Linked DNA regions of Arabidopsis thaliana. The protein of the gene in region 1 interacts with the protein of each later gene in a pairwise test. Each region holds a gene or a part of one and is shown on either strand. Other genes may lie near its edges.

Region 1 (4,898 bases):
TTTACACAACTTGCTTGCTTCCATGATTTGTTTACTTACACAATTAGAGTAATAAGTGATGAAAATTTGTGTTGAACTCGGAAAATTACAACTACTTGCAACCTAAGAGTTGACAACCAATCCTTCTAAAACTTCCACAAATGAATAATGTTAGATTCCATCGCTTCTCTCGCAAATCCATTCGCCTCTAAAACAATTCTGGAAGAACTCAACTTCTCCTCTATATTCTTCAGCTCTTGGTTGTAGTTTTCAAAATAAATGGTGGCACACCATTTACGAGAATCAAAACAATGCGCTCCAAATTCCTGATCCCGTAAGCGAAATGATAGGTAGACACGTTGATCAGCTGAGTGGATTTCCCATCATACCGACAGACTCCATTCTTAGGTTTGATATATGTTTCAAACACGTATAAACATCATAACATTAATCAATATTTTTTTCACTTGTGTTGGATTCTTTCTTTCTTTGTTCCCTGTATACTTCAATATTATCTTAAGAGTAACATAGAATATATGTCATCAGATAGTAGGAAGATTGCTTCAGCCACTAAAAGCGAGAGCTCAACCCCTAGTCCTTCAGCCTCATCTTTCTGCTTCTCATTGGTGAGATCAGTCTCTTTAGTGTAAGGAATATTATTGACTGACCTAAAAGGTAAAGAGAATATCTAGATTGTAGTAATCTCTTATTGTTACGGATAACACCGTGAGCCATTGACATTGATTTCATCTTTTTTGAGATGGTCGAGATGTCTGAAGGATTCATCGAATATGGCTCTAGATGCAGTTTTTTTTTGGGGGAGATTTCAAATCTATGAATCAACATATAACGAAACAAAAATCAGATTAAATATATCACAAAACGTTCGATTCAATCGGGCAAGTGAGAGAAGACGAACCCTAGATTAATAGAAAGAAAATAAACGATGCAGTCACCTTGTTGTTGTAGTGTTCTCTGAAAACTTAATCTTAGACGAATAATATCTATTTGTATATAGGAAAAAGGCTTTAATGCTTTGTGGATTAAAAGGATATATATAGAGGAAAGTAAGGAAATAAATATTTATGAGGAAATTTGGTAGAAGATAAGTTTTTATCTTAACTAATGATATTATTTTATATATTTTAAAAACAAACCCCCGCGGGAGTTATAGATTGCTTTAATACTAACATTAGTAATGCAAAAATACTATACTACTAGGATTTAACCTGTGGTATACCACGGGGCAAATATTTTATTTATATATAGTAATCTTAAATTTTACGGTTTTAAATTTAGTATTAAAATTATATAATTTTATATTAATATTGTAAAAAAAAATTAGTGATGATAGAATAATAAATAAAGATTTAACCCGTGTTATATCAATGCAAACCCGTCCCACTATATAACTCGTCTCATAATATTTTAATATCTTTTTATAAGGATAAATATTAATAATGTTTTATAAAGTTAAAATATATCAATAATAATATACCATTAATGCTAATAGATCCCCTTAAAAAAGAATATTAGTGTGTAGTACATTTTAGATTTGAAAAGATTTAAATGATTGTTGTGATATATTTATTTTAATTCTAAATTTTAGTAACAAAATTGATTTATATTTAGATTTGAGAAGAAATTTGTTAAAATATTAAATGCTAATGGCATTGGATGGTAAATAAATCCCAACTTGAGGATTTATTTCATAAAAGTGCTGCAAAAATGTATATGTAGATAAATCTATTTTAACATAATTTTTCTTTTATTTATATATTTAGTATTATTAATTTTATTTAAAAAAATTAAAACATAAGACAAATATGATGTGTTATTTTCCCTTACTTGTATTTTATTGTTCAAATTTTTTCTATTAATAAAGCTATTTAAAAATATTTTGACTAATTATTAGAAATAAAACTGCCAAAATATGTACATGTTTAGCATATCTATTAGTAAAAAAGTTTTTCTATTAATCAAACAATTATAGAGAAATATAATTTGACTAAAAATCCGGGTTGACACTTCCCATTTATACCCTTGATCTGAGTTTTTTGTGATAATTTCATAGATTTGTTGGTTCTGGGAAATAACTTCTAAAAAGTTGTATGTGTCATATGCTGCAAAAATCTAATCGTGAATGGTGAATTCTAAACAAAGACGTAAAATTTTAAGGAAAACATAAATCTTACCGTGAAACTTTGAGTCAGTCGAGATACCATATATATTAGAAAAATAAAAGACATATATAAAGAGAATTGTGGTTGTTAATGAGAGACACATTTCTCTTAACTCAAATCCATCTATTTCATACTAATGCCAAAATTCCAAACATCTAATCCAACTTCTCTCTCTGATCAATCTCCAAATCTTCATATGCAAATCCCCTAATCGAATGTCTTACTCACAATTGTATGTTCACCTCTCCATTATTGATTTTTTTTATTTAACATATATAGAGATTTGTTGTAATTGCACTCGAACCAAAACAATAAAACATTTGTTATTTCAAAACCCTTTTCCAAGACGAAAAAGAAAACCCATTTCCATAGCTAACCTAGTGTGAATTTTGTTTTCTCAGATTTAACCTCCTCAAACGGTGAAATGGTAGGATTAATTTATCAAAAACTTACCTATACGGGTTTTATTTCACTTATGATAAAACGATTCGGCCCATTAACCCATTTTGTTTTTCTGCTAACCCATTGGCCCATTTAGAATTAAAGAATCATCTGATTTAGTCATTTCGATGGTTTTCACTTAAACCCTAGTCTAGTCATTTCTCAGACTCTGACCTCACTGATCTCCAATGGCGAAAACCCTAGCTCGCTCCACAGCGTCACGCATCACCAAGCGCTTAATCTCCACCTCCGGAGCCACCACTCCTTCCCCTTCTTATATCCTCTCCCGTCGATCAACCCCGGTGTTCTCCCATGCCGTCGGATTCATCTCTTCCTTGAATCGTTTCACAACGATTCGAACTCGAATGGATAGGTCCGGTGGATCGTACTCTCCTCTAAAATCCGGTTCGAATTTCAGCGACCGAGCACCCACTGAGATGGCGCCGTTGTTTCCTGGCTGCGATTATGAGCATTGGTTGATTGTAATGGACAAACCTGGAGGCGAAAACGCTACTAAGCAGCAAATGATTGATTGTTATGTTCAAACCCTAGCTAAAATTATCGGCAGGTTAGGGTTTCTTTCAATTTCGTTGATTCATTAGTTAGAAGAAGCATTTAGTTATTGTAATTAATAATCTCTTGTTGTTTGTTTAATCAGTGAGGAAGAAGCTAAGAAGAAGATTTATAATGTATCGTGTGAAAGGTATTTTGGATTTGGTTGTGAGATTGATGAAGAGACATCAAACAAACTTGAAGGTATGTCTTGTTGTTGTTGTTGTTGTTGTTGTAATGTTGGCGATGTAATGGATGGTTGTTGATTATTGTGTGTGTGTTTCAGGACTTCCTGGTGTTCTCTTCATTTTACCAGACTCTTATGTTGATCAAGAGAACAAAGATTACGGAGGTGAGTTTTATGTTAATACTGTTGTTAGTGATTGCTTTAACACAGTCTATGTTTCGTAGTTCTCTGTGTGTTCTGTTTTGTGTCATAATCGATCAAGACTAAGCTTAGAACTAGAATTTTCATATATCTACTCTCAATTAAGCACAAAATCTCAGGCGTTGTTAATGTTAAGACTGTGGAGTGTGGAAGTAGAATCCGTTTCCTGCACTCAACTAGACATAAGACTCTTCTGTGTCACTTTTGTGTGTTCCATGAGTTGTTCCCTGTAGAGAAGCCAAAACATTTTGATTCCAGCCTTAAGTGTCATCTTTGACACCGATCTTTAGTCTGTTTGTTTGATAGAGAAGCTGTTTGTTTGATAGCTGAAGCTCGAGGGTCAAATCTTTAAACTAGCGTCTCTGTTTTGGTTTACTTGTTAAGTTCACTGCGTAATCAAACTCTTCTTCTAACGTATTGTGCAGCTGAGCTGTTTGTGAATGGAGAAATAGTTCAACGTCCTCCAGAGAGACAGAGAAAGATCATTGAGTTAACGACCCAGAGAACCAATGATAAACCAAAGTACCACGACAAGACCAGATATGTCCGAAGAAGAGAGAACATGCGTTGAATCCAAATCTGATATCAGACCATACAGAAGTTGTTGTTCAATGTTCATGTGTCTGCAAGCAACAGATGTTTTCTGTTTTGAGGTCTCTCTCTCCTTATGTAATGGCTTTGTAGTTTGGATTTTAGAACTTGGAATTGGCTAAAACTATTATCATTGCATATACATAATTTGGCCTTTGAACTATGGTTTTCTCGAATTATGAAAATAAAACCAAATCATTGAATTGGTGAGGCCCATTGGTGAGTATATTTAGGTAACACCGGTTATTTCCAATTATTTGACTAAACCGGGTTGAGAAGTTTAAACCGTGACTTAACCGGTTTCGTTACCTAGACTATAAATAACTCTCTTCTCCTCCACTCAACAAATTCTATTAGGGCACGCCGTACAGAGTTTACTCACTAAACAGAGGATTTTGATTCCAATCCGAATCAGCTTGAAGCAAAAATCGATCCATGGCGATTCTTTGGTGTCAACAACAAAAGGGTAAATTCTTTAACTGTTCTGAGGATTGTTTATGAGAGTATTATAAGTCACTACATTTGGTAAGCAAAGTGTTGTTTCTCAAACGAAGTGACTTATGATAATCTCATGAATGGATTTTGCAACTCTTAAAGAGAGCATAGTTCTTGTGGTGCGGCTTCTTGATATTAGGATCTAGAGCATTTTGGTAGATGGTTAATGTGATTATGGTAAGGTAGAGAAAACATTAGTTGATATGCAGCAGCTAAAGCGTGAAATGGATTCTTGGTTTTTAGTATATTATCATCTTTTTGTGTGTTTG
Region 2 (4,339 bases), 9.8 Mb from region 1:
ACCCTCTTCTCTGTGTGGTTTGGTTTTGTTCAAAAAGAAAACATTCAAGTCTTCTTCTTGATATAATGGTTAAAACTGGTGCTTACTAGTATCGTTTTTCTTTCCCTTTGATTCATGATTCTTTTAATTACAGTGGTTCGTAACATAATCTGAACCCGAGGACACACACACGATGATGCATTCGACGGTGCAGCATGGGGGAAACAAGAGTGGCAAGTCAAATGTATGGGCTAATACTAACTTGGCAAAGACAGTGGCAGCTGTAGATGAGTTCAAATTTGGATTCCCATCAGGCGGGTTAACAACTGTGTCAAACAAATGGTGGGGAAGGGCAGAGAAAGGCGGACGAGAAGATGGTGGAGGAGAGAACACTGAAAATGGACATGTAGCAGCTTGTGATGAGACGCAAAATTCTTTGGTAGCTATTAGGAAAAGAATAGCGGAAGAAGGAAGAGAAGCGGTTGAACTTGGTCTGCATCAAGGATTTGGTTCAAAAAGACCAGGCAAGAGAGATCAAGCTTTGCTGTTTCAGATCTTCAACTCTGCAATGCCAAAGGATTGGGTTACCCCTGATTCTTCCTAAGTTCGTTTGTAGATTTAGAACAGAGCTCCCTCTTAAAAATTATGCTCTGTTATATGTAATCCGCAAGTTCATTAACTCCTGCAACTATGTTATTATGTCTCTAAGTGAACTGGAAATACAACAGGAAGACTTGCGATCTTACGAGTCTACAAAATCATTTCTGTTAATTGCAAAAACATGGGAACAAATAATATAGAGACATAAGAACTGTCCTAGAGCCTTTGGAGGAAAATTAACAAAAACAGAGGTGACGCCGAAAGAGGGATTTTTGCTGGTATACGTCTCAGAAATTGGAACCAAACGTACATGCCTTTGGATGATCTAGGCTTTTCGTGCTCTACTGTGCGAGAAACAAGACATGTTTTCATGTCAAATGCCTGCAATGCGAGGATACAAGAAATTATCATGAAAGAGCTTCAATTGCTTCTCAAAAGTTTCGAACAATCAGCATAATAAGATTCAGATAGCAAGCAGCAGCAGTAAGTCCATCAGGCAAACTAAAGACTTCTCTAACTCCAATCCAATCACCTTCTGGGGAGGCTTAATATCTACCCTAACTAAATGCACAAGAGAAGGTAGGATAATGTTTAAGTAAATGATGGACTTATCCTTTTGTGAAAACATATACTACGAATCATGGGAAACCGTGAAACTTGTTTCAGAGATGAAGATGAGGCCAAACAGCATATTGTATCATAACACTCATCACTTAGAAACCCGCTAATGAAACCATAAGACCAAAGTAGCAAAAAGAACTAGATAAGTACCAAAAATTGTTACAACAATAGCAAAATTAGTGTCAAGGAAACCTTAACAAGCTTAAGGTGTGCGCAAAGAGCATCATCAAGTGTTTTACCTCTGGAAAAGCTCCGAAAAGTAGCGAGTACCGTTGTATAAAACGAACCACATCAAAACAACCACCAAAGAATCTGAAAAGAGTTGAGGAAAGGCAAAGAAGATGCAAGCAAAGATCTTAAGTCCTTGTAAACTAGCAAAAAATTATCTCAATTGACAGTATATTATTCAGTAGAGACTATAATCCAAACTCTGAAGTTGAAGACAAAATTTTAAGAAAGTAGCTTTTTAAAAACAAAATTCTAAAATTGAACAGACACAATGCTTAAGACGACAACACAAGAGAACAGAACACAATGCCACCATATATCACCAAAGATGTAAAAATCAAAACTTGCATCTTTCTAATGAAAGGGTAAATCGAAATTGGAGCACAGATAAACCAAAATCGATGGAGAGAACGAATGAAGCATGGAGGGATAGAGTGAGGAAAAAAGGATACTGAAGAGGTATCGTTCCCACCAATCAAGCATGTAGAGCCCGAATGTGACATTATAAAGGTAGATTTTGCGTTGAACCCAGTTCATATCTTCTGATCGATTCCTACAGTAAGAAGCGGGAGATTACAAATCTGAAATTGACAAAAACCTGATCCAAGATTCAAAATTTACCCGGTAAATCTCTGACAGAGAACTTGACAAAGATATACTAAACAGGATTACAAAGCGCCTGGAGATTCTCGATCTAGGGAACTGTATCTGACTCCAGATTTTGATTGAAGTGTCGTCGTCAAATACAGAAGAGAAATCAAATTTTGACGGAGACGTCAAAGTTGGAAAACTCTGTCACGGTAAATACTAATCTCATCCTCAATTCATTTTCCCACCCCGGTTTAGTCTTAATTACCGGTTTAGATGAACCAGGTATTCAAAATCGGTTTGTAGAACTAACCGGATAACGGAGACTGCAATGTCACAGAACGTGTGCGCTTTGTAAGAAGACCAAACATGGTGACGACGACCATCGGCGGAGTTCCGGTGGTGATTGCTCAGTCTCGGAGGATTCCAACGAGCCTGAGATGCTTCTCTGCCACCGCAAATTCTGACCTTCTTCGCTCCCAGCTTGATCGGCTTCACGCGGAGGCAGAGTCCACTCGTGCCAAAGGTGGAATCTTTATTCGCTAATCTTCGTTTTAATGTGTGATTTCAAAGTCGTAGACTTTGGAAAGATGAGGTGCTGGTTTCAGCATGGTTTTACTGCTTGTGAATCCAGTGATTGATGATGTCAATTTGATTTATTTTTGGTCTTTGTTGTTGTTGGTCCAGCAAACAGTAATAGGTTGAGACTTTTGAGATTATCTGAGGCTGCAGAGAATCTACGGGAACAAGCAGCTGTCAATGTTCGAACAGGGAAAGAGAATGATGCCAGAGATCTACTTCTTCAGAAGAAAAAAGTTATGCAAGCTTTGGACAAGGCTAAAGCTCGTATCGAGTTGCTCGATACGCTTTCTTCCAAACTTAACGAGGTACAAACAAACAATACTCTTACTTGTTAAGAAATGTTATTGTTTTGGTTGTTTGTTTGTTTTCAATTGCCCCAGAAATCTATCTAACTATGTCTTGAAAGCTTGGTTTGGTTTCAGGCAATATCTGTCAAGGAAACACAGCTGATAGGCAATATATCTTTGGATCTCGAAGAGGATGGAGAGAATACTTCAGGTGGTATCCACATTGTATCGCCAAAGCCCGAATCTACTGAAGACGGGGTCGAAAATGACCACACTCACTTGGATTCTGAGGGAATTCAACTTATTGAAAGGAATGTTGAGGATTACCAAGAACTTCTTGATACCAATAATAATGTACTAGAAGATGTTTCAATAGGTAGCATCCTGAAAGAAGTGTCTTCTTATGAATCTTTCTTGGAAAATTTAGACCAGAAACTTAGCAGAATCGAAGCTGAACTAGTTACTGTTGTAAATGTTGCATCCTTGGTGCTTAATCATGAAGATAAACCCAAGAATCTTAAGGTTCAGCAGACTGCAGAAATTCTTGAAGAGATTCGTCGTGTGAGGGAAAGGTAATGCATTCAAAGCATCACTAAGTTTTACTTCTAACACTGCAGAATTACTCAGTCCATTAAGTTTTGTTTTGCTTGTGTAGAATCGCAAATATCATTTGCAAAGAGGCAAACATCAGTTAGTGTGCTTCAAGCATTACTTACCAGCGCAGTGAACTAAAGAAAGGAAGCCACTCTTGGTATGAAAAGTTAATCTAGCAATTTTCCTTTCTTTAATCATTCTGTTTAGACAGGTATAGTCATTTTCTTGGTGTGAATATTAATATCTTCTAAGGTGATACATTAAATTTTGATGTGATATGAAGTTAATATGGTCGTTCACGTTAATGTTGTTGTGATATGGGATCATGATTATTAATGTGATATCAATACTTAGGAGCATCATTAAGTAAATAATAAGTGAATAACATACTATTAGATTAGATGTATACAATTAATATTGATTTCAACTAACTCTGAAATCATTTCATTTGTTCTAGGAATAAAATTAATGGCACTAAAGCGACAGGTTGAGATTATGGACTATACAAATCCAGAAACAAAATCATATAAAGCAAACATTTTCAATACATATCAATGGTCCCGAGTGATAAGAAATAGAAATGATGCCAATGAATCAACCATATAGAATTAAACATCTAAGTCCTGAAATAACAATAATATTTAGCTTTTCAAACAAACAAAAAAACTAATGAAAATTCGGAATAGTTTATCTGACAATGCCTTCATTTCCAGCAAGAACCAAGTACTTATCCCTCCTTGTGAGATTAGTGCATTCAAATCCCAAAACCCTAGCAAGTTCTCCCTGTATGAAATTCGCAACTTCAAAGCTTGACTTGCCTCCTGCACAAGTCATCTCTTTTGGCAACTTCTTTAAAATCT

Evidence for each region.
Region 2: the proteins of AT1G32580 (region 1) and AT1G06510 interact in a two-hybrid assay, tested with the Arabidopsis thaliana proteins (one large-scale study listed by BioGRID).

Annotation. Positions count from the first base shown.
Region 1 is NC_003070.9:11,781,317-11,786,214, forward strand, and holds AT1G32580 (plastid developmental protein DAG), read left to right. Parts: upstream 1-2,226; 5' UTR 2,227-2,791; coding exon 2,792-3,171; intron 3,172-3,261; coding exon 3,262-3,359; intron 3,360-3,441; coding exon 3,442-3,507; intron 3,508-3,968; coding exon 3,969-4,114; 3' UTR 4,115-4,388; downstream 4,389-4,898. Other genes in the region: AT1G32575 (uncharacterized protein), read left to right, coding at 234-317. UniProt on the Arabidopsis thaliana protein: Involved in organellar RNA editing. Required for the processing of few RNA editing sites in mitochondria.
Region 2 is NC_003070.9:1,990,004-1,994,342, forward strand, and holds AT1G06510 (forkhead-associated domain protein), read left to right. Parts: upstream 1-2,225; 5' UTR 2,226-2,385; coding exon 2,386-2,542; intron 2,543-2,703; coding exon 2,704-2,903; intron 2,904-3,020; coding exon 3,021-3,457; intron 3,458-3,540; coding exon 3,541-3,580; 3' UTR 3,581-3,838; downstream 3,839-4,339. Other genes in the region: AT1G06500 (uncharacterized protein), read left to right, coding at 173-583; AT1G06515 (transmembrane protein, putative (DUF3317)), read right to left, coding at 948-960, 1,440-1,512, 1,881-1,965; GPAT1 (glycerol-3-phosphate acyltransferase 1), read right to left, coding at 4,167-4,339.